7 linked regions of the Coturnix japonica genome follow. The main gene of each other region encodes a partner of the protein of the gene in region 3 in a complex. Links are inferred from orthologs where the notes say so. Each region holds a gene or a part of one and is shown on either strand. Other genes may lie near its edges.

The links.
Region 1: the proteins of VCP (region 3) and UBXN2B are in contact, whole or in part, in a cryo-EM structure (PDB 8B5R), measured with the Homo sapiens proteins. The link is inferred for Coturnix japonica from reciprocal best matches to the Homo sapiens genes VCP and UBXN2B. Residues at the interface, in NP_009057.1 of Homo sapiens: Arg113, His115, Glu132, Leu140, Ile182, His183, Cys184, Glu185, Glu187; in NP_001071087.1 of Homo sapiens: Phe215, Ser216, Gly217, Glu218, Gln220, Leu222, Gly223, Leu225.
Region 2: the proteins of VCP (region 3) and UBXN7 are in contact, whole or in part, in a crystal structure (PDB 5X4L), measured with the Homo sapiens proteins. The link is inferred for Coturnix japonica from reciprocal best matches to the Homo sapiens genes VCP and UBXN7. Residues at the interface, in NP_009057.1 of Homo sapiens: Val38, Leu51, Phe52, Arg53, Gly54, Asp55, Ile70, Leu72, Pro106, Val108, Tyr110, Leu140, Glu141, Ala142, Tyr143, Pro178; in NP_056377.1 of Homo sapiens: Arg418, Tyr419, Pro420, Asp421, Gly422, Arg424, Leu455, Asn457, Phe458, Arg460, Lys462, Gln480, Glu481, Thr482, Phe484, Val485, Gln486, Asn489.
Region 4: the proteins of VCP (region 3) and RHBDD1 are in contact, whole or in part, in a crystal structure (PDB 5EPP), measured with the Homo sapiens proteins. The link is inferred for Coturnix japonica from reciprocal best matches to the Homo sapiens genes VCP and RHBDD1. Residues at the interface, in NP_009057.1 of Homo sapiens: Asn33, Asp35, Val38, Phe52, Arg53, Gly54, Asp55, Thr56, Ile70, Leu72, Tyr110, Pro137, Tyr138, Phe139, Leu140, Glu141, Ala142, Tyr143, Arg144, Pro145, Ile175; in NP_001161080.1 of Homo sapiens: Ser300, Glu303, Met304, Arg305, Gln307, Arg308, Leu309, Arg311, Phe312, Asp313.
Region 5: the proteins of VCP (region 3) and VCPIP1 are in contact, whole or in part, in a cryo-EM structure (PDB 9DIL), measured with the Homo sapiens proteins. The link is inferred for Coturnix japonica from reciprocal best matches to the Homo sapiens genes VCP and VCPIP1. Residues at the interface, in NP_009057.1 of Homo sapiens: Asn589, Asp627, Asn750, Arg753, Lys754, Met757, Phe758, Gln760, Thr761; in NP_079330.2 of Homo sapiens: Trp609, Ser620, Asn621, Val622, Tyr623, Asp624, Gln645, His649, Leu652, Thr655, Ala656, Lys657.
Region 6: the proteins of VCP (region 3) and UBXN6 are in contact, whole or in part, in a cryo-EM structure (PDB 8FCO), measured with the Homo sapiens proteins. The link is inferred for Coturnix japonica from reciprocal best matches to the Homo sapiens genes VCP and UBXN6. Residues at the interface, in NP_009057.1 of Homo sapiens: Pro23, Arg25, Ile27, Gln43, Asp47, Gln50, Leu51, Phe52, Arg53, Gly54, Asp55, Leu58, Lys60, Gly61, Lys62, Arg64, Leu72, Glu80, Lys81, Gly97, Val99, Ile100, Ser101, Gln103, Pro104, Cys105, Pro106, Asp107, Val108, Lys109; in NP_079517.1 of Homo sapiens: Pro279, Ser280, Pro281, Ala283, Ser284, Phe286, Glu287, Leu288, Phe292, Phe293, Asn294, Leu295, Glu299, Ile300, Arg302, Glu303, Gln304, Leu306, Arg307, Ser308, Val311, Leu314, Ser315, Val316, Leu317, Arg318, Thr319, Lys320, Ala321, Met322.
Region 7: the proteins of VCP (region 3) and VCPKMT are in contact, whole or in part, in a crystal structure (PDB 7OAT), measured with the Homo sapiens proteins. The link is inferred for Coturnix japonica from reciprocal best matches to the Homo sapiens genes VCP and VCPKMT. Residues at the interface, in NP_009057.1 of Homo sapiens: Arg239, Gly280, Glu283, Ser284, Arg287, Lys312, Arg313, Glu314, Lys315, Thr316, His317, Gly318, Glu319, Val320, Glu321, Arg322, Arg323, Ser326, Gln327, Leu329, Thr330, Asp333, Pro355, Ala356, Arg359, Phe360, Arg362; in NP_078834.2 of Homo sapiens: Arg14, Ser15, Phe16, Val17, Arg18, Gln32, Tyr33, Ser34, Ser35, Gly36, Gly37, Val38, Val41, Trp43, Asp44, Ile47, Val48, Leu97, Asp144, Tyr147, Tyr148, Glu174, Arg176, Thr177, Met178, Gly179, Lys180, Asn181, Glu209, Tyr210.

Annotation. Positions count from the first base shown.
Region 1 is NC_029517.1:101,289,820-101,292,496, forward strand, and holds the end of UBXN2B (UBX domain-containing protein 2B), read left to right. Parts: intron 1-239; coding exon of another isoform or gene 240-345; exon of another isoform or gene 346-466; intron 467-567; coding exon 568-730; 3' UTR 731-2,177; downstream 2,178-2,677. UniProt on the Homo sapiens protein: Adapter protein required for Golgi and endoplasmic reticulum biogenesis. Involved in Golgi and endoplasmic reticulum maintenance during interphase and in their reassembly at the end of mitosis.
Region 2 is NC_029524.1:3,593,472-3,597,759, reverse strand, and holds the start of UBXN7 (UBX domain-containing protein 7), read right to left. Parts: upstream 2,801-4,288; 5' UTR 2,765-2,800; coding exon 2,692-2,764; intron 1,650-2,691; exon of another isoform or gene 505-1,649; coding exon 357-504; intron 1-356. UniProt on the Homo sapiens protein: Ubiquitin-binding adapter that links a subset of NEDD8-associated cullin ring ligases (CRLs) to the segregase VCP/p97, to regulate turnover of their ubiquitination substrates.
Region 3 is NC_029547.1:7,821,650-7,825,149, forward strand, and holds part of VCP (transitional endoplasmic reticulum ATPase), read right to left. Parts: intron 3,428-3,500; coding exon 3,325-3,427; intron 873-3,324; coding exon 739-872; intron 501-738; coding exon 365-500; intron 1-364. UniProt on the Homo sapiens protein: Necessary for the fragmentation of Golgi stacks during mitosis and for their reassembly after mitosis. Involved in the formation of the transitional endoplasmic reticulum (tER).
Region 4 is NC_029524.1:7,758,242-7,762,344, reverse strand, and holds the start of RHBDD1 (rhomboid-related protein 4), read right to left. Parts: upstream 2,801-4,103; 5' UTR 2,714-2,800; exon of another isoform or gene 2,706-2,713; intron 1-2,705. UniProt on the Homo sapiens protein: Intramembrane-cleaving serine protease that cleaves single transmembrane or multi-pass membrane proteins in the hydrophobic plane of the membrane, luminal loops and juxtamembrane regions.
Region 5 is NC_029517.1:104,312,226-104,314,936, forward strand, and holds part of VCPIP1 (deubiquitinating protein VCIP135), read right to left. Parts: intron 2,317-2,711; coding exon 1,448-2,316; 3' UTR 1-1,447. UniProt on the Homo sapiens protein: Deubiquitinating enzyme involved in DNA repair and reassembly of the Golgi apparatus and the endoplasmic reticulum following mitosis. Necessary for VCP-mediated reassembly of Golgi stacks after mitosis.
Region 6 is NC_029543.1:1,643,137-1,647,313, forward strand, and holds the start of UBXN6 (UBX domain-containing protein 6), read right to left. Parts: upstream 2,801-4,177; 5' UTR 2,712-2,800; coding exon 2,629-2,711; intron 2,010-2,628; coding exon 1,855-2,009; intron 1,613-1,854; coding exon 1,551-1,612; intron 1,407-1,550; coding exon 1,275-1,406; intron 1,054-1,274; coding exon 956-1,053; intron 719-955; coding exon 643-718; intron 557-642; coding exon 472-556; intron 274-471; coding exon 54-273; intron 1-53. UniProt on the Homo sapiens protein: May negatively regulate the ATPase activity of VCP, an ATP-driven segregase that associates with different cofactors to control a wide variety of cellular processes.
Region 7 is NC_029520.1:52,362,561-52,366,828, forward strand, and holds the start of VCPKMT (protein-lysine methyltransferase METTL21D), read right to left. Parts: upstream 2,801-4,268; 5' UTR 2,768-2,800; coding exon 2,559-2,767; intron 2,482-2,558; coding exon 2,371-2,481; intron 2,269-2,370; coding exon 2,196-2,268; intron 2,063-2,195; coding exon 1,943-2,062; intron 823-1,942; coding exon 718-822; intron 249-717; coding exon 234-248; 3' UTR 1-233. UniProt on the Homo sapiens protein: Protein N-lysine methyltransferase that specifically trimethylates 'Lys-315' of VCP/p97; this modification may decrease VCP ATPase activity.

The sequences.
Region 1 (2,677 bases), on a different chromosome or scaffold from region 3:
TGAGAGAACTTTGAGCAGAAGGCAGAGATTTGGGTAGCAGTTCTACCCACACTTGGTAGCAGGCAAGGCTCAAGTTAATGCACTCCAAAATGTGCAGCACTGTGTTAGAACACAGCTGAAACTTGTCTTGAAAATGATCTTAGTTATCTTAGTGTGGACTCAGTTTCTTTACAAAGCTGTTATATGGCTTTGAGAGTTCACCTGGTCTCTTTTTCTTTTCCCTTCCATTTCTGTCTCAGAATAAGGGCAGAGCCAATGTGCAGCTTTCTTCACCTGACAAAATACATAGACTACAAGAAGGTAATTTCAGCTGAGATGCCAATAGACAAGAATTTGCAGCAATAACATCTCCTACTTCAGTAGGCTTGATAGTACCAGCCCAGGCTCTTCCTTCCCAGCACCAGTTCGAGAAATTACTTACCAGTATGGATGAAATTGAAAAGTAAAACCATTAGGACATATTAAACAGTTTTTCAATCTGTTATTGTGTTCTTAGTCTTCAGAGATTCAGGTTGGAATGCAATCATGTCTATATGCACAGCTTTCATGTCCATATCCCTTCCACAGGATTAAAGATATTCGAGATTTCATTATCCAGTCCCGTCCAGCATTTGCAACAACTGATTTTGTTCTTGTGACGACCTTTCCAAATAAAGAGCTAACAGATGAAAGCCTGACTCTACGAGAAGCAGATATACTTAACACTGTGATTCTTCAGCAACTAAAGTAATCTTAGAGCCATTGCTACAGTATGGAGTCTGTGCTGTATTGTCATACAATGTTTTCAGTAGATGAAAAACAGAAGGATCGGCATCTTTATTCTTCCACTTCCATAGATCAGATTCTTGATTTTCATGTCTTCCAGCTATGGCATATCTTATTTTAATTTCTCAGCATTGTTTAACCCCTTTTCAGTGTTAAAATTGAGTTTCCCTGTGTTAGTATGTTTCAAACAATGGCATGTATGAGATGTGAGCTATCACAGTGACTCTTCATTGTTTTATGGGGGAGGGGGGAAGAAGCATTTTACTGGAGGGGAGAGAGTATTTCATACGGTTGGTAAGATTTGCACTATGGAAATGTTTTATGCTGCATTGACAAACAGCCATGTGAAAACTTAGCCTGTAGGTTATGTTTACCTTCTAAGCTGTATTAACATCAAGGTATTATGTTTGATAGGTTGACAGATAATTAATGCTGTATTATAAGTTTTGTATATTCTGTTTCTAGTGTTTCATCGTGTAGTATAATTATTTATATTTTAATTCTTATGTAAATATCCTTATATTGTTGTTTTGAGAGAATCAGTATCAGGAGATGCAAAGCTCAGCTCTAGCGGACTATAGTAGCGTTCTCATTTGTATTCTGGTTGTTCTACTTGTGGTGTAAACTATGAATTTCTTTTCTTCTGAAGTTAAGGAAGTGAGAAAGACCGCTGTCATCTGAAGAACTGCTGTGATGTAGGTTTTGTGATGGTAGGTCTCTGGTCACTTTGAACTTGAACCCTGTGCAGCTGTGTGATTCTTCACATGAACAGTTACTTAAATAAAAACTACAAAGGTGCACAGACACAAACATTGTTTATTCAGTCATTTGCATGCACAAAAGTAGATGTGTTAATTGATTGTGTGGCTTTGACCTGAAAGTCAGATCTTTATACTTGGAATTTTGGCTAAAGACCTTTTGTAATATTCAGTGGGGATTTAATTGTGCAACTTGCCATTATACACTTCCATTGGAGGCTGTATAATTAAACCTCTTAATCTTTGAAATCACATATATATATTTCAAATAAAGTGGTAATATGTAAGTAGGAATCTTACATAGTGGGTAGACTGGCTGCAGATTTATAATATTTGTGGCTTTATATCAAATGAATGGATCAGACTCTGAAGGAGGGTAAATGGTCTGTATTCTTTGTACAGATATATGTATTAAAAATCCTGTTTTCACTGATTATTTTACCTTGCAAATATCAACACACTTATTTATGCATAGCTTTATCTTTGGTTGGTATATCAGATTAATCTCAACTTTTCATCTCAAAGCAGAAGTTTTCGTAAATTTTAAATGTGCAGTTGTAATTGAAGCCATTTGCTTTTGTAATCTGTTGGCATGATTTAATCATAATGCATTTAATGTGCTGAGTAAATAAACTTCTACGTTAAAAGACCGTAGGCAGTTTTTGTTCGTCTCAGTTTCTGTTGTGTCGAAGTGCTGATTATGTTGCTTGCCAAATATAAAAGATATTCAGGCCTACATGGAAAGGGATGGACACGCACTATGCTTGTGTTTTATACATTTATATTCTACCTATAAATTTGAGGTCAGAGTCAGTATTGTGAAGCAGACCATAGGCAGTCTGTGCTTTGGGCTTATTTCAGCTCAGAATGTAGGTGCAGTTCCACTGCTTATTATTTCTGAAAGCTGACATTAAACACAATGTTTAATCAAATAATATTTTTTTTCCCTCTTGCTGTGCCAAAAAACAGCTCATATTATGACAGTGTTTATTTCAAGTAGCTGGTGAATGTTAATGTTCAGTAGCAGCTGATAGGATCTAGGAGCCCTAGTAGTTGAGTTTATTTTGTCAAGCATTAGGAATACATGTCAGTGCGTGAATTAAAATATTTCACTGCCTCTAAGTACTTGAAAACCTCTAGAACTCTTATTCTCT
Region 2 (4,288 bases), on a different chromosome or scaffold from region 3:
TCCAGTATAAAAAGGAAAGTATTCCAACAAAAACTTGAATATTAAGTTACTGATGTGCCAGAAGATCCCACTTTTCACTGGATCCTCACTTCAATGACTCGAGCTATGCCTGCAACAACAGCATGTGCATGCAATGGAAAACTTCTGAAGCACACTCAAGAGAGACCAGCTTGTGCAGCAAGATAAACTTATTTATTAAGAAAAATATCAAAGCAATCAATTAAATGAGATCATTGAAGAAGCACATGTTACACTGAGATGACAGAAGGTCCAAAGAAAGAACAAGTGTTTTAACTGATCTGTCTTTACACTATGAAACTTATAGGACAGACTACTCATTTTTATGCAGTACGTACTCGGTGTGTGGTCGAACTGCAGACACTGCTGCAGAGCTGGTGCTGGGCTCCTCTGCTATGCCTCCACCATCCAGAAACATGGTGACAGCCATCTCCAGGTTGTTGTTGCATGCTTCAAGCATATGTTTTCCCACGCTTTCACTGGCACCTGCAATGCCAAGCAAATATATATTGAAGCATTCTTTGTAAAGCATTCTGATCAGAAGCAACGGGAACAGCTAACCAGCTTTCTCTTTTAAGGCACTGACCATTAGAGCAGTTGAGCAGGTGCCATTTATCCCTAAGGCACAACTATGAGGTGAGACAAACACGCACCTCAAGGGAAAAGGAAACAACAGCCACACTTCCCCTTTCCATCGGGAGAAAATTCTGCTTATTAAGTTTGACTTCTATTGTGTTATATGGAAAAAAACAAAACAACCAACTGATTTAATATTTTAACAGTGAGAATACTATACCCAGTGCCAAAGGTTTTTACCCACCTCTAACAGATATGTAAAGATAGAAACTAAAGATTCCCTGTTTCACTGAGTGCTCCAGAAGGCAAAAACAAACAAGCAGAAGCTCAGTTAATTGTTAGTTGTTCTCCCTTACAGGGTCTGCCTCTAAAGCTTCCTCAAAGCCACACAGACAACAAAAGCACCTTCACCAAATGAATCTCTCCTGCATCCAACCTTTTAAGAGCCCATTTACTACACTAAGTTTCTATAGGTAGAGGCTGCCAAAGAGTCTATTTTAATATGGAAAAGCTGGTGTAGAAGAAAAGTGGCAAAATGCAGCCGAACCAGTTTGGGAGCAGCTTTTGGTCTGTAATAATTCTTACCAGCTTCACCACAACTCACTGAAATGAAGAAAACTCCATTTCCCCAGCATCAGAATGACAGCTAACGCCACTCTGAGCAAACACATTTAACCTGCTTCCATTGGGTGTCTCTGAGATTTTCCAGGAAGTCCTCGGAGCTTTAGATTAAACAGATTGATACGCTGAACACACACTGAGTCTGCTGAGATAAAGCAACACTAAATGACCTGAGCTATTACATTACATCACAAAGAAAGCCAGGTCGACCAAAGTAACTGCTTTTCCAAACAAACCCACTGCAAACCAACCTGCCACAAGAGCACCTCAGTGGTACTTGGCTGTGCTTGAGGACCTTAATCAAAATAGAAGAGCACAGCCACCCTGCGCTGCTCATTCAGGAGGACCAGAATATATATGTACCAAATCTTCCTCAGTCCTAAGGAAACCAGCATCACAAAACATCTGCTGAGAACTATATTTGAGGACTATGGGTGAGTAGGCATGGGCTGACAGCTCTATTTGATGTTTATATTGTCTTTTCCAAGCGCAGTGACTCTGTGATTCTACACCATCAGGTGTGCTGGAAGCAGATGGCAGGATGGGTTTTGTTTCACCTTTTCCACACAAACATGGGTAGCTCTGCGCACTTACACAGCACCACAGGGCTTGGAGCATCCAGTGTACACCCCTGGGAAAGCAGGGTCACACCAGAGGTGCAGGCTGACGACACAGGGTGTGTAGTGCAGCACCTGTCACTGCGCCACAGGGTCAGACAGCTCCGCAAGAACTCCCTTCTAAACAGAACCTTACATCCTATTACAACAACAAGACAGAACCTCAAACCCCTCTTTCAGAAGTGGGCGGGCAGAGCCCAGTAGCCTCTTGTTTTCTTGTTTCGGAGCGTAGGAGCAGGGTTAGACATCTCCATAACCCACCTACACGAGCAGAGGGCTGCTGGGCGAACAGCACAGCTCTGCTTGGCTCTCAGTGCTTGGGGCACTGCTGAGAATGAAAACATCAGACACACACCGGGGCACGCTGTAAGCACAGACACATCTTTCATACTAGCGAGGGTCCTGTCAGCAGATCCCACGCCCCGTAACCCCGCAGCATTGCGGTGTGCAGGTGCCGTCCCGCTCGCTGCCCGCAGCACGCCCCGTGTCCAGGCCGCATCCCGCTGCTGAGCGCGGTACCGACCCCGCGATGCTCCGCACGGTCACTTCCAGAGGACGCTGCTCAGCGATGCGGGCCCTTATCCCAGCCGTGGTGCCGGCCGCCGTCCCGCTCTCCGAACCGCTGTCGGTCCGGCGGGTCTTGCTGCCCGACGCTCCGGAGCCGCGTTTCCCGGGGCGGGCTCCGCGCCCACCCGCCGCCCCGCTGACAGGCCCGGCCCCCCGCCCCGCCGGGCCCCCGCCTCACCGCGCCCGGCCCTCCTCCTCCTCCTCCTCCTCCACCTCCTCCTCCATCCCGGCCGCTCGACGAAGCGAGAAGCGGCTCGGAGCCGCGCCGGGCCCGGCCTTCCGTGTGCCTCACCCGTGATGGCGGTGAACTGCTGGATTAACCCTTTCAGCGCCGCGGAGGCCGCCGAGCCCCCGTGCGCCGCCATCTTGCCGCCGCCGCACAACAACACGCACGCCGCCGGCCCGCGCGCACTGCGCAAGCGCGAAACCCGCCCGCGCCCTTCCTCGGCCCCGCCGTGCGGGGCGGGGCGGCATGGCGGGAACCGGGCTGTGTGAGGGGGGGGTGAGGGGGAACGGGCACCAGAGGGACGGGCATCGAGTTACTAACAAGTGAAAAATCAAACGGATACAGCAAGTGGGATGATTTAAGACGGGGTTGGATTGAGACTTAGGCACAAAACTCGGCTTGTTCTGGAAATAGAGTTTACTTATTGCATGCTCATCGTGACAGGAAAAGTATGTTAAGCACAGAAGGCAGTCAGTACTTCTGCCTTGAAGAACACTGTAATCAACAACGGATTCCATCTGATTGCCTGGGTGACAGGAAAGCAAACTGAAATAAGGATTACACAGAAAGGGGTCGATAACAAACAGGCTTCCAGCGCTACGACTGAGGCAGCAATGGGAGATAATGAACTATTTGCAGCAGGTCACCTGTAATAGCTTTCTCAAGAAGGCTCTTTGAATTCTCCACTTATTGAGGAGGAACCCAACGTTAGCAGAGATGTGCCATCAAGGTGACGTGAAAAACATCTGTTACAAGTTTCCTAGAGCTGAGTTCAAGTCTACGGATCATCCACAACACCTCAAAGTGCACTTTCTTGAACGTCTGCTATTCAGCAAAGGGCACACGGGTTTCAGCTGCTGTTCTGCACTCATCCAACAACATACACTTGAGAAATATATCGCTGCATCCAAAGAAAAGCCAAAAGCTGGGCTCCACAATAGCAAAATAGAGAACTATGTAACAGGGCCGCTACCTGCTGACTAGCAGCTCACAAACTGCTCCCAAGGCCTCAACTTGGAGCTGTCAGCTCCACAGAACATCCAAACTGAAATTCTTTTGAATTATTTTACTATCAAACTCAACTGGAAGACAGAAAATAATAACAACGGAGCAACAGTTACAGCCAGGCAGAGCAGCTGAACGCCAGCTGGAAGTTAAATACAGTCAATACTGTTAACTCGAATGGCTTTTCCCCCTTTTGGTTTTACTTTCTCCAACATAACTGTCTCCTGCACTAATAATTTTTGAATATTAGGTGCTTAGAATCAGACTCGAGTCAGTTTGCACATGAAAGTTAAATAGCAGTAAATGCAGGCAAGACTGTGTAAGTTACAGGCTGCCAACAACAAGAAAACAAAAATGAACAGAAGTAAATGCGAGCCCACAACCATTTCTGCCATTGGCATCTATGAGAGATCCCTGCCTCTGACTGTGGAAGAATGATCCTTTCTTTCCCCTTTGCCTAAGAAAGGGGTTACTCTGTGAGAGGATGCGAGAGAGGGAAAATGCCTTTGCAAGACTAGCTTATCTGGTTACAATCCTGTTAACTGCCAGGCAAACAATGCAATTCAACAAATAAACCACATTCCAGTCACGTCCTTCAGTTTAACACAACCCTTTGGTTTAACAGAACAGTGCCTGTGCCTCGTAAAGCCTCAGTCTC
Region 3 (3,500 bases):
TCTCAGAAACTGCCTGACTCCTCATCAATAAAAATTAAGAGAAGCCAGAAAATTATTCCGCAGCCTAAGGCATGAACATCCTCTCAAACAGCCACTTACTCCTTCAGTGTGCCCCAAGCTACCCTCAGCCAAGAAAGGCTAGCATTAGATTTCAAGTATTTTGTTATTTTCCTAAGCTCTAACCTAGTAAGGCTAAAAAATCATACCAAAGCCCAGAACCCCAGAAGCTGAACTCAAACAAGCAGTCAACAAACCACACAGAAAAAGTTTAACATTAAATTTCTGCTCAGTCTTTTCAAGGTCCCAGAAGCACAGTCTGTAATAAAGTATCTAGCAGACAAAGCAGAGCTAATAAGACAGTTACCAAATCGCCTGAGTGCTGGGTCGATGCTGTTCGGTCTGTTGGTAGCTGCCATAACAATCACATGTGCTCTCTGTTTCAGTCCATCCATAAGAGTCAACAGCTGAGACACAATGCGACGCTCCACCTCTCCATGTGTCTGTGGAGATGGAAAGCAATGATCAGACGTAAAGCTCTATAGCACAGCACACGTACTAGTGCTGCACCATATCAGACAGACACTAAACCCACCAGCTGCTAAGAAACACTGTGAAAGATGCACAGTTCCTCTCATGTCCAACTGCTGCTTTACCCTACGCTCAAAGCACACAAAGTCATGCCAGTTGCTACCAAGAGGGTGTACAGATACCTCTTTAGATCCCAAAGGCCATTTTTACCTTCTCTCTCTTTGGAGCAATGGCATCCAGTTCATCAATGAAAATGATGGCAGGTGCATTTTTTTCAGCTTCTTCGAAGGCTTTCCTCAGGTTGCTTTCAGACTCACCAGCCAGCTTGCTCATGATCTCAGGACCTGAAAAAATAGCAGCTCTGTGGCACCCAGAAGAGAAGCAGCTAGCTCCAAGACATGCACCTGAATTTTTTCAGTACCACATTCACACAGGAGTATCTATATTTCAAGCCAAAGCAAACACTATCAACCAAATTCACTAAATCTGCAGCTGAACAGGCAAGAACAGCATGCGGAATTACTTTCTATCGTTACTCTGGTGTTTTCAGTTTACTCTAACAGAATGCAGTACTAGTCAATGAGCTACCTTTAGCTGCCTCTTTTCTTACCCTATTTCACACTTGGTGAGCTTCTCTGTAATGTGCCACCCCACACTGTTAATGCCAGTCCTAGCTTGCAAGAAAAGCAATCAAATTATATGGTGATGAATTATCAGAGTAGGGAAGGAAAAAGCTGTAAGATACTGAAGCTGTCTTCAGCTTGCATTACACAGGTAAACATTTACCTCTATACAAGCTTATAAGTAAGCTCCAAAACAAAACAAACAACAACAGAAAAAACAAACTCACACATACATAACCAAAAAAAACCAAACCCAGAAGCAAACAGCCACAAAAGCACCCCAGGCAACCTCCCCGCAAAACATTAACTCATAAAGAAATACGAACACATCAATTCCAGAAAGGACAGCGATCCCCTGAGATTTCCTACAACTGCTGAACTCTAACGCTTACCAATCTAATTTGTTTAGATTTTTTCCATCGTCATTATGGGAATGATCCTGAAGACAAAGTATGCTTCTTCAGAAGGATCCAAGGAAAATAAACCTGACCCTCAGGAGTGCAAAGCTGCTAGCTGACTGAAGTGCTCCAGCTGCAGAGCACACTGGTGCAGGCAGGTACTGTTTTACTTCAGGTAACTCATCAATTCACACCAGCTCTGTCTACCACCTGCTGCTTCAGGTTTGGGATGAGCAGAGAACACATCACTAATTATGACAAAAGATGGTATGTTTATAATGTAACAGAATCACAGGTTTCTGGAGACTGGCTTATTATCAGTGACACCTTTCATACACTTAAAAAATATAAGACAAGGGTGACATATGGGTAGGGACTCCCACTTTATATCTGAAGTTGTCAGAAGTAAAAGCAAGTTAATTCGCTACCACTGGTCACTCCTATGATATCTTGAGTTAAAAAGCAGATCCTGCCGCTCTCTGCTATGCTGTGCTTCTTTCAGCTTCATGGGTCTAACTCAAAGCATAAAAGAGGTAAGGCAGCAGTTCTCAAGTACAAACATTCAGTTATTGTAGCAAACTGAATGTTTGTACTTGAGAACTGCTGCCTTACCTCTCTTTTATGATTTCAATTAGAAAGAAGCTACACCTCAGTACAGAAAGGACATGGAGGTGATGGATTAGGTCCAAAGAAGGGCAATAAGGTTTGTGAAGGGCTTGGAGATTATGCCCTATGAAGAGAGACTGAAGGAACTGGGGCTGTTCAATCTGGGGAAAAGGAGGCTGAGGCAGGACATTATTGCTCTCTTCCAACACCTGAAAGGCGCTTACAGCAAGAGTGGGGTTGGTCTCTTCTCACTGGTGGCAGGTCACAGGACGAGAAGAAATGGCCTCAAGTTGTGCCAGGGAGGTTTAGGTTGGATATCAGGGAAAAACTTCTTTATAGAAAGGGTTGTTAAGCACTGGAGTGGGCTCCCCAGGGAGGTGGTTGAGTCACCATCCCTGGGTGTGTTTAAAAAAAGGTCTGAATGTGGTGCTTGGGAACATGATTTAATAGAGGGTTGTTAGAGTTGGGGTAGCATGGTTGGGTTGTGGTTGGTCTTGATCTTTAAAAGTCTGTTCCAACCTGAGCAATTCTATGATACTGTGATTCTAGGATGCGAGAAAAGCAGTGAGGAAAATTCAGAATTTTGTCTTCATAGCGGACATCATAAACTCATATCTATCTATCTCAACTGCTGTAAGTGATAATGATCAGCATGAGGTTCTGTCATTTGTAGCTAAGTTCCTCAGCACACGCTGCAGCTTTCAGGAAAAGTTCCTTCCAATTCAAGTTAAATGAAACTTGAAAACTACAAGGTCTTGTACTTTATTTGAAGGGAAGAAAATTGCAATGCAGACTAGCTTTTTTTTTGGAATAAAACATGCTGATAAGAAGAAAAAAGTTTACACCTATACATGGAATAATCTCACTGCTTCACTCCTAGCCATGCCCCTACAACATAAATGAACACTCGGACAGACTGAGTTCCTGCAACACAAAGCTGCCTTTCAGCCACTCTGCAACAAAACAATTACACTTGAGTACAGTGCCACTAAAGACGCTTCCGCACAAATGGCATCTAAGCATCCACAGAGGGGCACCGGAAAGAGGTAAAGAAGGACAGATGTCAAGGAGGCAACATGCCTATACGAGCCTTATTTAAACCATTCGCTGCCTTAGCTGGATGAATGATTACACAGCATATCTTGTTCCAAAGCAGACCCAAAACTTACCATTAATCAGGAAGAAGAAAGCCCCAGTTTCATTGGCCACTGCTCGGGCAATCAGTGTTTTGCCAGTGCCAGGTGGACCATAGAGCAGGATTCCCCGTGGAGGCTGGGAAAAGAGAAAAGGGACTTAGGTGGTGAACTTGCATCAGAATGTCTAAGAATCTTCACAGTGAAATCAC
Region 4 (4,103 bases), on a different chromosome or scaffold from region 3:
ACCCAATTTAAACACAGGCTACGTGGAAACCCCAACTTCTTGCCATACCACATTGTTCAGATTGCCAAATAGTACATAGTCTCACTTTTTAAAGCTTTCCCCATCTACTGACAGTCTTTCTTTTCCAGTTTTAATACTTCTAACATACACACACCAAGGAAAAACAACCTGCACGCAGCACCATAACCATGTGAGAGTGGGAAGGCTTTACACCACGACTGCAGCAACACTATGTACTGTAAATCCTTCCTACTACTGGGAGCAAACAGAAGTGGGTGCCAAAAACACTTCATGTAGTTGATTATAAATGACAAACATATAAAGAAAAACAAATTAGTTATTTAGTTAATGCAATACATTTCCAGCTCTCTGAACATTCTTTCTCAGCCTCTACTCTGTTCACTAGAGGTCTAACAAGACTTAAAACAATGAAGCATTTATTCTTCTTTTTTTTGAGCTATGCCACCCACTTCAAAAGGCACAGACTTCCAGCACGGCCCTGCAGGAGCCCTTTGTGTCGCTTTGTGCTGCTCCTCGGCTGCCACGTGTCTGCATATTTGTCACCTACTCAAGATAAAGGTCTGACCGAAACATTCTCAGAATCCTTCAGTTTGGTGCTAACCAAGAGCAAAGCACAGAACTGCTATTTTTACTGTGACAAACTCCCCGGCTGGCCTGACAGCCATAAAATACTATGAGTTCAGATTACTGAAAAGTCGTGCCGTTAAGTAAATATTTTCATCATTTGGACTGTAGTCCAAACAAAATCTAGCCGTCTATTCCTACTACAGCTATAGTTTGAAGATTCTCCTTAAACCCCCTCTAAACATCTAAAAGTTCACTCTAAAACTGATTCACATTGATGTGAAACAAAACCCAGTCCATCGCCCTGCTCCTCAACACCTGTGCTACGAGGTAAGCCCAGATATTACAAACAGACAGGAGAAATGCTTCTCATTTCCACTGAGGGTAATACAGCTGTCATCTACCTGCACGGCACGTCCTGCTCTTTGGAGTTAGGTCAAATCAAACACAAAAAACAAAACCACAGCACTAGAAACATGTAAAGGATGAAAAGGGCGAACATCTGATCCTGAGCATGAACTGGTTCAGACTGCAGATAAAGCCCAGCAGACCGTCACTATTCATCTACGAAGAAACAAACTCAGTACAAAGCCTTATATCCAAGAAAGAACAAAACAGAAACTGTGATTTTAAAGCAAAAGGAGTTTTACACAGGAAGCATCAGCAACACGCCCGTACTATTGGCCTGAAACTTTGAGAGGGGCCAAGGAAGGCAGAATCAACAAAACAAGAAGAAATAAATGCAAGAAAAAGCACAAAGATTTTAAATATAGTGAACCATCCTGCTTTTATTTAATATGTATGCAAGGAAGAGGTCGGACACAGCTGTCAGCTACAACAAGCTTTGTAACATTAGATACAATGACATTACCAAGATCCACTATTTCCTCCTCTGGAGAGAAAGCTCACATCACTTCTCATGGTGCAATATAAACCAGCTCCCCAGGTGGAACAACCTAATGTTCTTATTACGTATTGCCTTTGTGCAGGTATATCTATACGTACAGAGAAAGGCATTTATCCACACACGCTCCTTTCATAGGTGCAGATCATTCTAGTTACGCAGGCTTACCATCAAAAAGAGTCATTTTGGCTCATAGAAATTCATGTAATAGGAATTCTGCTACAGTTGTAGCATAGCACAGACAAAAACAGAAACCTTCATGGATTTTCCTGTCAGGAGACCTTCTAGTATCTCTCCTTTGAAACCAAGTTCACTAGAAATTAATGAATTCCGTGTTTTCCTTCACTGGGAAAAAACCTGTTCCAGATTCACTCGGGAGCCACGTGACACGTTGCTGCTGGTTTCATCACTTAGAAATGCTAAAAGCAACATCCAGAGCATTTTCCCTGTATTCCTAAATCTATCTGTCATGTGCTGTCAAACAGACAAAGCATTTTTGATGCAGCAAAAGCAATTCAGTGGATAATCCCCCCAAAACATCAGCTCTTTTTGAACCTCTGCGATAAGGCAGATACCAGCCAAACACCTTCTAGGGGGAAGCAATGGATACATTAAGCTCCTTCTCTGTTCTGTGGAACAAAGTAATACAAGATCTAGCCACGAAGTATTGCTAATGGTTGGACTAGATGATCTTCTTGGTCTTTTCCAACCTTGATAATTCTGTGATACATGTTTTTAGCGTCCTGTCTCATAACTGGTAGTAACTGCCCTTCTAACAGCTATGGCAATAAGTACAAAAACAAACAGTTATTTGTATAAACGTAGCCCAGCTCAGGAGCTGCATGAAGCAGATAGGGCCTATCAGCGCTGACACGGCCCCGCTCTCACAGCGTTATACCCCACAGAGACGGGATGGAGGGGAACCCACACGGTGCCACAGCGCAGCGCAGGAACCACAACTCGCCGGGCTGCCACCAGCAGCGGGTGAGGGGGAACCCGGCGGAACGGAAGGGGCCAAGCACGGCCGGGCGGGGCCTGAATGGAGGAGAGCCAACAGCGCCCGCTCCTCACGGCTGGAGGAGGACAAGGAAGAAAAGGCAGAGCGCTATGGCGGCTGGGAGGCAGCGCTGCGCCCCTTCCCGGGGGTATCGGACACATCCAGCACCACACGGCGGCACAGCCCCCATCCCCCCGCACTGCCCCGCCCCGCACTCACTCACTCACATTCTCTGCGCAGCGGCGGCCCCGCTCCCGGCACCGCACCACGTGACGCGGCCTCCAGTCCGCGGGTTCGAGGCCCGCCCCGTCCCGCCCCGCCCCGCGCCTCACAGCGGCGGGAAGGCGCGGCCGTGCGCTGTGATGGGGCGGAGGGGCAGCAGGTGGAGTGAGGTGCGGCAACGCGATGGTGTGTAATGAGCTGTGTAAGTCGGACGGTTCAACTGCTTCAGCTTTTTATTCAGACACTATAGATCCAGAGAAGGACACATCCGAGAAGGTTGCGGGGTGACCTCATTGCAGCCTTTCAATACCTGAAGGGAAATTACTCCCAGGAGGGGAGTAAACTCTTGGAATGGGCTGACAATGGCAGGACACGGGGAAATGGTTTTAAGTTAAAAGANAGGGGGAAGTTCTTCACTAGGAGAGTGGTTAGGCCCTGGAACAGGCTGCCCAGGGAGGTTGTGGATGCCCCGTCCTTGGAGGTGTTCAAGGCCAGGTTGGACGGGGCCCTGGGCAACCTGATCTAGTAAAGGTGTATGTTTGGTGGCCCTGCCAGGCAGGGGGGTTGGAACTACATGATCCTTGAGGTCCCTTCCAACCCGGGTCATTCTGTGATTATGTGAAAACGTAGGAGCCTGAATTAGGGAATCACAGTGGCTGGTGGTGCCAGTGTGTGATGAGAAATGAGTGGTACAAATAGCAGAGCCAGAGCTACCTGAGCTACCTGCACACGGCTGCCAGCTCTGCAGCACTTCGGTTCCTCACAACTTCTTGGCAATTCACACAAATACGTCACCGTATTTATCCAAAAATTGCAACCCGCCCTTCCAAAAGCAGCACAGCTCAGCAGACTGGCAGGCGTGGAAGGGGCTGGATTCCTAGAAACAGGGTGGGGATGGAGCTAAAGGAGCAGCCTGTGCCAAAACAAGCAACTGCAGCACACTGCTCTTCCAAGAACAAACAGGAGCCAAACGAGGAGGGCATGCTGAGCGTGCCACCATCCACACACCTTGTCCTAAGACCTTCAGTTCTGGCACGTTGAGATCTGTTACCTCAGTTAATGCTAATCTTGATAATTCATAGAAATCAGCGGATTTGGGAGTTAGAAAATCTGTCATTCTGGCATTCCTAACATACACCGGGATTTCTATAATTGCACCACTTTCTGTAATGGCCTCCTTGAGTTTCATGCCACCGTAACTCCAGGCTGTAATTCTTAACCATGCAGTATTTAGCTCAGATCTTATTACTGGATGTACAAGACTTGAGGTTGTGGCTTCCTGGGTCCTGGAAGGTCTGCATTCTTAACATCCTGTTCAATCATATTTTCTATCTTACCTGATAAAGCCCAAATAACAGGAGTCATGGGAACAACTGTAGGCTCAGGTTAAGTAAG
Region 5 (2,711 bases), on a different chromosome or scaffold from region 3:
TGCATCCAATGCTCAGAATGGTTTAAGTGATTAGAAATGTAAAAAGTGGAGACTTCTCTGAATACGAACATCTACAATACAAACATTTCTGAACTGGTAAAAACCCCACATGTGCACAAACACCGACTTCAGTATCTTAAATGCTCTTAATTCCTTTGAAGCTGCATTAGCATCTCTCATCCATTCAATGTTATTTTACCATTAGAAGAAGCAACAACAGTGCACTTAAGTGTGACTATGAAGATAGGAAGCAAAGTGCAATATCAGATAAACATTCCATCCTTAGGGAGCGAGCACAATGGCTCCTTCTTAAGAATTAGCGCTGCAGGTCTGATGAACACACTACTTACTTGGATACCAGCGATAATGTTACAGACAGGGAAATCTGCATCACAAACTGAAGCCAATCGAGGTGGGTAGTCTTTATAGCCAATGAAATAACATGTATTAAGGAACACCCAAGGAAGGAAAACAATGTTTTAGAGAGACATTTCCTTCCAATAAATCACTAATCTGCTCGGAAGAGGGAAGCTATTATTCGTTTGGGTTTTGGAGTTTTTTTCTGCCAGTTACTGACCAATGCCGGTAATTGAAGCCCTTTAAGAGAAACTGATTTGCTAATGAACTTTTGTTGTTTCTTACAATTGCCAACTTCCCTCCTGCTGTTGTATTTAATATTGTAAAACATTTGAACCAGCTCAGTAACTGGGAGGAGATATAACAGAGCATCAAAATGGCTGTGCTGACTCAGACAGCCAGGCATAACCACACCACCTTCACTTCATCTTCATCGTACACTCTTCTCACTTGCTTAACCTGACACATGCAGAAATTAGAGTTGACTACAGTTACACTTATCCCAAGATTTCTGACAAGCATATACAGCTGTGTGAATGAAAACCTTTTTGCATCTGAGGAAGTGCCAATACAACATAGTTAAAGTCATGTGTATGTCGCATTGTAAAATTTAAGACAAGCTGCGTTTCAGTTGCTTATTGAAATATACATGTAGCTCATGTTTATAGTGTATCCTGGAGTGGAACTGAGTACCTGGGACAGGATTAACCTTGTCAAGTTCCTAGTTTTGCCTGGTTTAGCCTTTCCAGTAGCCTCAACTAGCACGGCAAGAATCTCGCATGGGCTTAAAATTTAAGACTGACTTGGAATTAAAAATCACAAAGAACTTTCAATAGCCCACATTACAGCAGATATTCATCTCAGTGCATTTCCTAATAACTAATTTACAGGTAACAGAGCCAGCCTGGGTAGCAGTATGGTAATATTAAAAGCTATTGCCAATCACACACTTGCTTATCATGCACTGAATAAGATGATATAATTTTTTGACATACATACAAGATTTAATAACTAATCACTTTGTGTGGCCCAGCCAATAAACATTACATTTGAACAGTAATTTCTTCTAGCCTTATTAGATTTTAACCTATCAAGAGTGATCCATTGGCTCAGTTACATTAGCAATTCCTGCATCTTGGCTATCCATCTCCTCAAGCTCCTCAACAGAATTTCCCTTTTGTGCTTTAGACCTTGCAGGGAAAGTTGCTCCCACAGAATTCACCATGTTATCACCAGCTGACTCGGTATTCAAGTGTTCAGTACCACCCGGTGCAGAAAACGATTCAGGCAAGCCAGCCTGAAAGCTCCCAGTTTTAGCAGTTGAACTCGCTGCCTCTACTTTTCTTTGAGATACATCAACTGATGCTGACTGCTCTGTATTCTGATCCCGCAAATGTCTATCCATTGAAGCCTGAATAGAAGAGATCATCTCCTGCAACTTTTTTCTCTGTGTCTCAATCAAAGTAGGGTCGAGCTGCCTGCTGTCTCTCATTGTCACAACTCCAGGAGCTATTCGGATCAGCTCACTCTTACCAGAAGCAGCTGGGAATACAGAAGGCTCAATTTTAGCAGGACTGAAGTCTGTTTCTGTACTATGCTTTCTTAAAAGTGGTGCTTCCCTGGCTCTTTGATCATGTTGTTGACTACCAGATGCAGTTCCTAGCGAATGGCCCTTTCCTTGAAATGCAGTTATGTTATGTAGCTGTTCAGATTTCTTTTTCACTACTCCACCACTACCCAGCTTCAGCATTCCGTGAGATGGACTTGATTCTCTGCTCCGTGAAGTAGCTTCTGCTCGCACTTGACTTAAGGCCTCTTTAACCAAGTCTTCGACATCAGGACCAATAGGAAAGTGCCCAGCAGCATCCACACACAGCTCTAATCGATCTTCTGCTGCGTTGTACACAAAGTTTTTACCAGGCAAATGTGGAAAAGTACAGTGTTTGCCATCAACCAAACCTATAAAGATAAAAAAGAAAAAAAGGGTTTTCAAAACATTGCCATATTTTAAGGCATGCTCAGAATACACAGCAATTACTGAACTTAACGTTATTGCAGCCAAACCAGAGAAAACAGACTTTTTGCTGTTGGGAAAAAAACAACTACAGCCATATGATGTCACCATCCACAGCACTGCTGCTGTCTATGCTGATTCTAACAAACTGACAGGACTGAAGTACTACTGCATAAAATAACCAAGTTGGCAGGACCTGCAGCTCCAATGCAACAGAAGCTGAAGAAACAGCATCAGCTTGCAGTAACACCAGGAAAGCCAAAAACCATCATCACCCAAAGCTCACCACTGATCCCCCTAAAAACCTCCAAAACCCACCAACAGGAAACATCCAAAGAGA
Region 6 (4,177 bases), on a different chromosome or scaffold from region 3:
CTGGCATTGCGTGCCCCCTGGGTAGTGGAGGCCCTCACTTGAAACCTGCTCACCGGAGCCGTTGCTCTCGTTTTATCTCTTCTGCAGTGAGGTTGTAGAAGTCATTTGGCAGCTCAAATCGGGCAGCTTCAGGTGATGGTTTAAATACACAGAGCTGGCGATCCAGCTGGAGTCTCAGCGGCTCACAGCTTAAAAGCTGATCTTTATAGTACTTAAGGTCTTCCAACCTGGTCAGCATTTCTTCCTTCAGTACGTAATATTCTTCAGTGGTGTCTACAACCAAAAGCACGTTCACATATGAAATTTAAGGGCAATAATCTCCAGAAAACCTACTGCCTTAACAAGAAAAAAGCAGGACCAGAGGCTGTTCATGTAAAACAGCCCTGAAGTGTGAAGCTCTCAGAGCCTCCCCTGGGATGTCCCATCACTCAGGCTGCTGCCTTCACTTTATAATACACTTAAATATCTTGCCTTGTCCTGGAACAGGCAGTGTTTTTGTCTCAAACCCAACAGACTGGAAAAATTTATGTATGCCTTCCAGGCAGTTTATCCTTTCCTGGAAGAAAAGGAAAAATATTAAATGTAATCTGCTCCAGGCAATGAGTTCCCCAGGCAGAACAGCTGCAACAATCCTGATCTCACCTGAAATACTTTGTTCTGTAGTTTGATTTTCTGGTACTTCTCCTCCTCTGGATGCCGATAGATATTGTCCAAGTATCTGCAGAAAGAGGAATCTATGTATTTCATGGATCAAAGCGGGCACTTTAGGACATGCTGCCCATAAGGTCTCATATGGAAAAGTAAGGAAAGCAAACTATTCATTTCAAGCAGCACCTCCTAAACCTCTTGGACCAGTAGATCAACTCAAAGCATCTCAGACATTGCCTGGAGTGCAGCAATGCCTGTTAACCTTCCAGGGAAGGGACAAGCTCCCTGCGTGCTCCATCCTACTTACTTGGCCATGGTTTCTACACCCACTCGGACTTTGTCCCGATCCTTATTAAAGGTGTGAATCTCCATGATGGAGGCGGCCACTGGGTCTACTGCAAAATACTGGGAAAGAAGAAGAGAAGTCGTGGGTGGACTGACTATTCTGTACAATCAAAGAGCGTTTATAGCAAGCCAAAGGGACAGGCACTTATAACATCTGAACAGAGCCTGCAGTCTGAGAGATAGGGGAGAAGATAGGAGGGTAACTGCTGTATTGCTTGAGGGGATTAATGCACAAAATGAGTTAAAATGGAAGCAGCACAGCCTGCAGATGTAGATCTCACCGACTGGATGGCTTCTCTGATGTGTTTTTCTTTCTCATCTTTCCTTACAACTGCGCTGGTCAATGGGCAGATGAAATAAACCCCTGAAACAGAGGGTTCAGCTGCAGCTTCCTTGTACGAGAAGGCTGGGTCCTAAAAGAGACAAAAGCAGGTGCAACTGAATTGTATTGTTTGTATTGTATTGGATTGCTGTGGGTTGTTTGCATATATCTATAGGACAGGAACAACAGCACTCTCAAAGCATTCATTTTATCATAGGGAACAAGCTGCTCGTACCTCTTGGTCTGCACAAACCCCTTTCTCACTTGCAGCTGCCTCAGCCATCAGCTCCTTTCTCACTAGGAGAGAAAAAATCCCAGTTATGGCAATAGGGGAACAGAGCTCTGCTTCCTCAGAGTGCTTTGCATTGCACAGCTGATTGCCTTAACCCCATTTCTAAGAGGCTCGTCATCAAGGAGCCAGCTCCAGCTGCCAAGATGGGGACTCTACGCTCAGACCTACAGCAGCTGGTTGAGCTTGGAGGTAACACTGATAAAGCTTTGCAGCCCAGCCAGGCTTGTAACTGCGAGGAATCTCCTACCCTGGTTCTTTATGGCCTCGTAGGAGGAAGGTGGCTTCGCTTTGGGCTTCAGCTCCATCCGAGCCATCGCTGCCGCCGCCGCCATCTGTGCTTCATCGGTGGGTCCTTGTCGAGGCTTCGGTGCTGCCTCTGCTTTCGGCTTCTCCTTGGGGACCCTACAGGACAGAACGCAGCTCTATGGGCCCCTTGACCGGCAGTAACAGCTTTTAGCACCCCAACCAGCCCTTGTATGGACTCAAGGTATAGATCCCAACCAGCCCTTGGGTGGACTCAATGGATCCCAACCAGCTCTTGGATGGACTCAATGTATGGATCCCAACCAGCCCTTGGATGGACTCAATGTATGGATCCCAAATAGCCCTTGGATGGACTCAATGGATCCCAAACAGCCCTTGGATGGACTCAATGTATGGATCCTAAACAACCCTTGGATGGACTCAATGTATGGATCCAACCAGCCCTTGGATGGACTCAATGTATGGATCCCAACCAGCCCTTGGATGGACTCAATGTATGGATCCCAACAACCTTGGATGGACATCAAGTTGTAGGGATCCCAACCAGCCCTTGGATGGCCTCAATGGATCCCAAACATCCCTTGGATGGACTCAATGGATCCCAACCAGCCCTTGGATGGACTCAATGGATCCCAATCACTCCCAGCCCCATTCGTTAACACAGCCCCCCCCCAAGCCGTGACGTCCCGGTCCCGAGCTCCATCTCTGGGCCCAACGGGCGGTACCGAGCGGTTACCGGCGGTGCAGAGCCCCGTACCGAGTCGGTTCCGAGAGTTTCTGGCCTGGTCCAGCGCTTCGAAACTTCAGGTCGGCCTTGATCTCCTGGAAGAACTTGCGCATAGCGACGGAACCGGGACCCGAACCAACACCGGAACGGTACCGGCCGCACCCACCTCCCACTTCCGGTCTACTCACGTGATCGCACCCGGAAGTAGGTGGGGGCAGCAACGCCTTCCTGCCGTTCTACCCAGCCGTCTCTGTGCGCGGTCCTCCAGGCTCCCCGGGGCTAATGGACCTGTATGGTGTCCTATAGTTGGACCCTTCAGCCCCACTATGGGGCAGGTAAAGTGGGTCAAGATGCAGATCAGAGTGGTCTGAATTGGAATGGACCTCTAAAAGCCATCTGGTCACACTCCTGCAGAGAATAAGGTCACCCACAGCTTAAAGAGCCCCATCCATAGTCATATTATCCCCATAGACACCTCTTTGGGTCCTTATACCCACTCTAAATCTCCCCTCTTTTAGTCTGAAGCCATTTCCCCTTGTCCTATCACACAGACCCTGCTAAAGAGCAGCCCCTTGTTTCCTATAGCCCCTATAGGTACTGAGAAACCACTCTCATCTCCCTATGGAGCCTCCTCTTATACACAGCCCCAGCTCTCAACCCATCCTACATCATTTTTATGGCCCTCTCTGGTCACACTCCAACAGGTCTGTGTCTCTTTTGCACTGGACTCAATGCTCCAGGTAAGCTCTAACCAGCACAGGGGCAGATCCCCTCCATCATTTCCTATGGCCTTCTAAGCAGCCCCCAACAGGGAACACAGCACACTCAGTTTGTTCTCACTCCTCTCCCATAGGTGTAATTGCTCCGTAGTTAATCCCTGCCACACGTGTGGGTTGTGTTTGCTAACAGCCTCACCAGGCTCAGCTGCATCTCATCCAGCTTCCATTTCTCACTTGGGATGCAGCAGCAAATTGTTGCTTAAAAGCTGAGCTAAAGCAGGATGAATCAGATGGGCTGGTTGGGTTTGGCTCCGTGAAAGCACAGAAATCAGGTCATTAAATCACAGGTCTATGATCCTAAATCAGCTCTAATTCCTCTGCATGCTCCCTGCTCCTTTCCTATCCAACTTTCCCCTATATTAAGGGCAAGCTCTCCATTCCTATCCAACCTTCCCCTACATGGCTGTGCTCTTTAAGGGATGCCTTCCATACCCCCAGCCCTGCTCTCATGGTTATATCAGGACAATTCCATGGAGCTGCTGGGCTTTAACCACCCTAAAGCTCCATCCCATGGGCCTTAACCTCCCTAAAGCTCCATCCCATGGGCCTTAACCTCCATCCCATGGGTTTTAACCTCCCTAAAGCTCCATCCCATGGCTCTGGGAGGCTCATTTTGCTTATCTGTCCCTAACGAGATGGCTGCTCATTGCTTTTTCCCCCTCAAAATCATTCACCTTCGTGCCATGGGGACCCTCCCTGGCAGCCTATTCCCCCCTCATAGCTCACCACAGTCCCTGACCCCTTTAAACCTATGATCCCCCATCCCCATAGACCCCAATACCCCTCCATATCTCCCCCCC
Region 7 (4,268 bases), on a different chromosome or scaffold from region 3:
CTCCTCGGGCAGTGCTGCCTATGGGAGCACACAGCAGCACTGCATGGTGAGCCCATCCCACCCTGCCTGAGCCTGCAGGCAGCGTGTCCTTCCTATTGGAAAGGTGCACGGGGGGCACACGGCCCAACCTGACACTTCTACATCACCAACACTGCAGGCCTGTCCTTGGTGGGGTTCCCTCCTCAGCAGGGTCCCAGCCAGCTGCCAAAGGACGGGCAGTGCCGACACACAGCTCACAACGGGGAATTCTGTGAAGAGATTGAAAGGGAAAGCAGAAAGGTACAAATGTCAGAACAGACTGGCTTTGTTTCAACACCGGACCCATGTGTCAGCAGCAGATACCTTTGTTATGCATCTGTCTGTTAAGCAATGTGAGGTTACTGGGATAGGCCGCCCAGCTCTGCTCTATGCAGTGGGGTGGGGAGGAGGGCAGCGGAGCACAGGGCACCCAGAGCAGCACTGCGTGGTGTTTGTAACACTTGGGTGCCCCAAACCTTCATCCTGCAGCCCACAGCTCACAGGGACAAAGGCTGCACCTGGCACAGCGCTGTGCTTCACAACTAAAGAGCTCTGCAAGCACAGCTCTGCTCTGCAGCTTCACGGGGTCCCTCAGGCATTTCACAGTCACTTTACAGCTCCAATGGTGCCAATGAGCAGCAGCTCAGCTCAGTGCTGGCCACATGCGCTGGCTGAGGCGCAGGGAGCCCCGTCACCCACCTTTGTTTTCCTGCGGATGCTCAGGATGTGGATGTCCTCGCTGCGGAACTGCTCGTCGTGCTGATCCAGGGGCACTCGCTCCAGCTCAAAGTCCACCTGAAGCAGCTGTGAGGACAGTGTGGGGTCATCGGGTGGCACTGCCCTTTGGAACGGAGCGTGCACAAAGCCAGGCCCGGTGACAAAGCTGCCCACAGCAACAAGCCACAAGTCTCCTGGTGCAGCTCATCTACCCTCATCTACCCAGTGCCAGCTCACAGCTGCAGACACCTTGCAGCACAGAACAGGAGGCATCAGTTAAAGGGTGAATTAAAAAACGGTCTGAATCGAAGGCTTTAGATAGAAGCCTTTGCTTCCTTCTGCCTCCAAACCGCAGCGCCCGCCTGGCTCTGCCAGCCCTCACAACTGGAGGGAAAGGCAAACAAACACACAGCGCCTGCAGGATCCACTTGGCTGAACCACGACCAGCCGAGGAAGGAAATTAATTATGGGAAGGCAGAAATCATCCAGAAACACGTCGACTGACGGCAGGTACTGCTGGCACAGGGCGGCTGCCTTCACAGCACAGAGCCAAACCCAACATGGGGGCAGCCCAGCAGGGACAGCCAGAGCTGTGCTGTGTGTCCGACCTCACAGCACACAGCTGGTCCGAGGGATCCCAGCAGGACCAGCACCCACAGTGCAGCACAGCGCTGCTTGTCAATGCAGCTGTGCTGGTTTGCAGAGCTGGATTTGTGGAGCAGCCCGCCCTGTGCTTTCCATGGAGCACGTGAGAGGAAAACAGCTTCTCACCTGGTTAATGTTTAACTGTCCCCATAACCTGTGTGTGTTAGCAACCAGCTGGTGCAGAAAGAAGAGCACGGCCACCTGCTGACCTGCTGCTATGGAATCACTGCTCTGACACACACACGGGCCATTCTGCAGCTCTGTGCCCAAAAGCAGCAGCACAGAAATGGCCAGCACAGGCTGCACAGGGACCATCCAACCCGGCCTTCAACACCATGGGATGGACGGGGCATCCACAGCCTCTCTGGGCAGCTGTTCCAGCACCTCACTGCTCTCACAGTAAAGAACTTCCCCTGACATCCAACCTAAACCTGCCCTCTTTCACTCCAATCCATGCCCTTTGTCCTGCCGTTCCAAAGAGCTGCACATGAAGCACAGACACACACACACACACAGACACACACACACACAGACACACACACTCACTCACTCACTCACTCACCTCCAAGTACCTCCTCTCAATCTCCGGGTTCCTCCCCTCGGTTCTCTGTTCGTAGCAGCACAGCACACACGTATCGGGGCCCGTCAGCTCCCGCAGAGTCTTCAGCAGCGGCTCCAGGGACTGTCCAAAGGGGTCGAATTGTCCATAGGGGTTGAATTGCCCACAGGGGTTGAACTGCCCACGGTTCCCCTTTGCAGGTCACCTCACCGGCCGTTCCCCCTCACTCCCCCCGTCCCGTCCGTCGCCCCGTTACCTCCTCGTAGTAGATGCAGTCCGCCATAAGGATGTAATCTGGCGGCGGGCGGAACCCGGACACGTCCTGCCCCCTGTAACGGGGCTCGGGGTGAGCCTGGGCCGAGCGGCGGCGGGGCGGGCGGGGCGGGCGCGTCCCCCGGGGCCCATACAAACCATTTGAGTCCCATACAAACCATTTCAGTACCTCGGCTCGCACCGACCCCGTCACCAGGTGCCGGTTGTTGTCGATATTCACGGCCAGCAGCTCCTGCAGCTCCTGCAGGTCGGTCAGCGTCACGTCGGCCCTGAGTGTCGCGCGGTGCCGTCAGCCCGCAGCCCGCACGGTCCCGCCCGCAGCCCCCGACGGCGGCGCCGCGCTCACCCCAGCGTGGCCGCCATGATGCCCACGGCGCCGGTACCAGAACCCAGCTCCAGCACGGCCCGGCGGGACAGCGGGAACGAGCCGGTCTCCAGGAACTTGGCGAGCACCAGCGCCGCGTCCCACACCACGCAGCCCACCCCGCCAGAGCGCTGCAACAGCCGCAGCGACGGGCCCGAACGGAGCTCCAGCTCCCGAACGAAGCCCGACATGGCCGTTACACTGAGACGGCGCGGCCCCTCCTACACAGGGCGGCTGTGGAACCGAGCGGCGGGCGGGGATGGGGGGAATGAGAGTGTGAGAGCGGTGAGGTGCTGGAACAGCTGCCCAGAGAGGCTGTGGATGCCCCGTCCATCCCTGGAGGTGTTCAAGGCCAGGTTGGATGGGGCCCTGGGCAGCCTGGGCTGGTATCAATGTGGAGGTTGGTGGCCCTGCCTGTGGTGGGGGGTTGGAGCTTCATGGTCCTTGAGGTCCCTTCCAACCCAAGGTGTTCTGTGAGGGCTGGAGCAGCTCTGCTATGAGGAAAGGCTGAGGGAACTGGGCTGAGTTAGCTTAGAGAAGGCTGCGGGGAGACCTCATTGTGGGCATCCAGTACTTGAAGGGAGCGTATAAACAGGAGGGGGAACGGCTGTTTGTGAGAGTGGGCAGTGACAGGACAAGGGGGAATGGTTTGAAATTGAGACAGGGGAGGTTTAGGTTGGATCTTAGGAGGAAGTTTTTCCCCCAGAGGGTGGTGACGCGCTGGAACAGGTTGCCCAAGGAGGCTGTGGATGCCCCATCCCTGCAGGCATTCAAGGCCAGGCTGGATGTGGCTCTGGGCAGCCTGGGCTGCTGGTTGGTGACCCTGCACACAGCAGGGGGTTGGAGCTGGATGAGCACTGTGGGCCTTTGCAACCCAGGCCATGCTGTGATGGTTCGATTATTCCCCACACCCACCAAGCACATCGTGTCCCTCAGTGCTGCAGTTCTTTACCAATGCTCCCATCCCTTCCCCAAGAAGCATTCACTGCATTTGCAAGACTCCAAACTGCATCCAGAGCCCCACATATGTTAAAATATGGGAAAAAAGGAATTAATAAAATACAGTTCCCCTCCCTGCCCTGTCTTTCTTGCTGTGCTGCAGCCAGGTCTCAGTGCCAGCAGGAACCATGCAGGCTCCAGCACAGGAGCTGCACGCACTCCGTCCCTGCAGGCTGTGCTCCCTGCAGCACCCAGGGGCGTTTCGTTTCCTCTTCAGGGCTCTCCCATTCCAGCTGTTTATCCGCACTGTTGTCAGGATCTGCCTTTTCCCACAGCAGCCAACTCCAAACCCAGCAATTTCACATTCCTCCCCCAGCATTTTTTACTCTTTTTATCCACCCCTCTAATTACAAAGCAGCTGAAATGTCAGTTTGCTGCTCTATCTCGGCATTCCACAGAACCACACTGGTGGGAATCTGCTGCTGCCCCAGCACTGCATTACTTTGGGAACGTGTGTTTCTGTACCCGCCGTGCTCCTGTGCTGCTGGCATTGCTGCTGCTCCATCGCCGCCTTGGAACGCTCCTTCCTGTTGGCATTTCCCAGCTCCTGTTTTGCTTGGAAGAGGGTTTAATTGTGCGGTGAGTGAGCCGTAAGCAAGGCTGCTTTTTTTGCATTGCGCTGTGATTTATAGGCTGCCATTGAACTCCTGTGAAGGTACGAGCAGGATTTCATGCTTGGGGAATGCAGCTGAG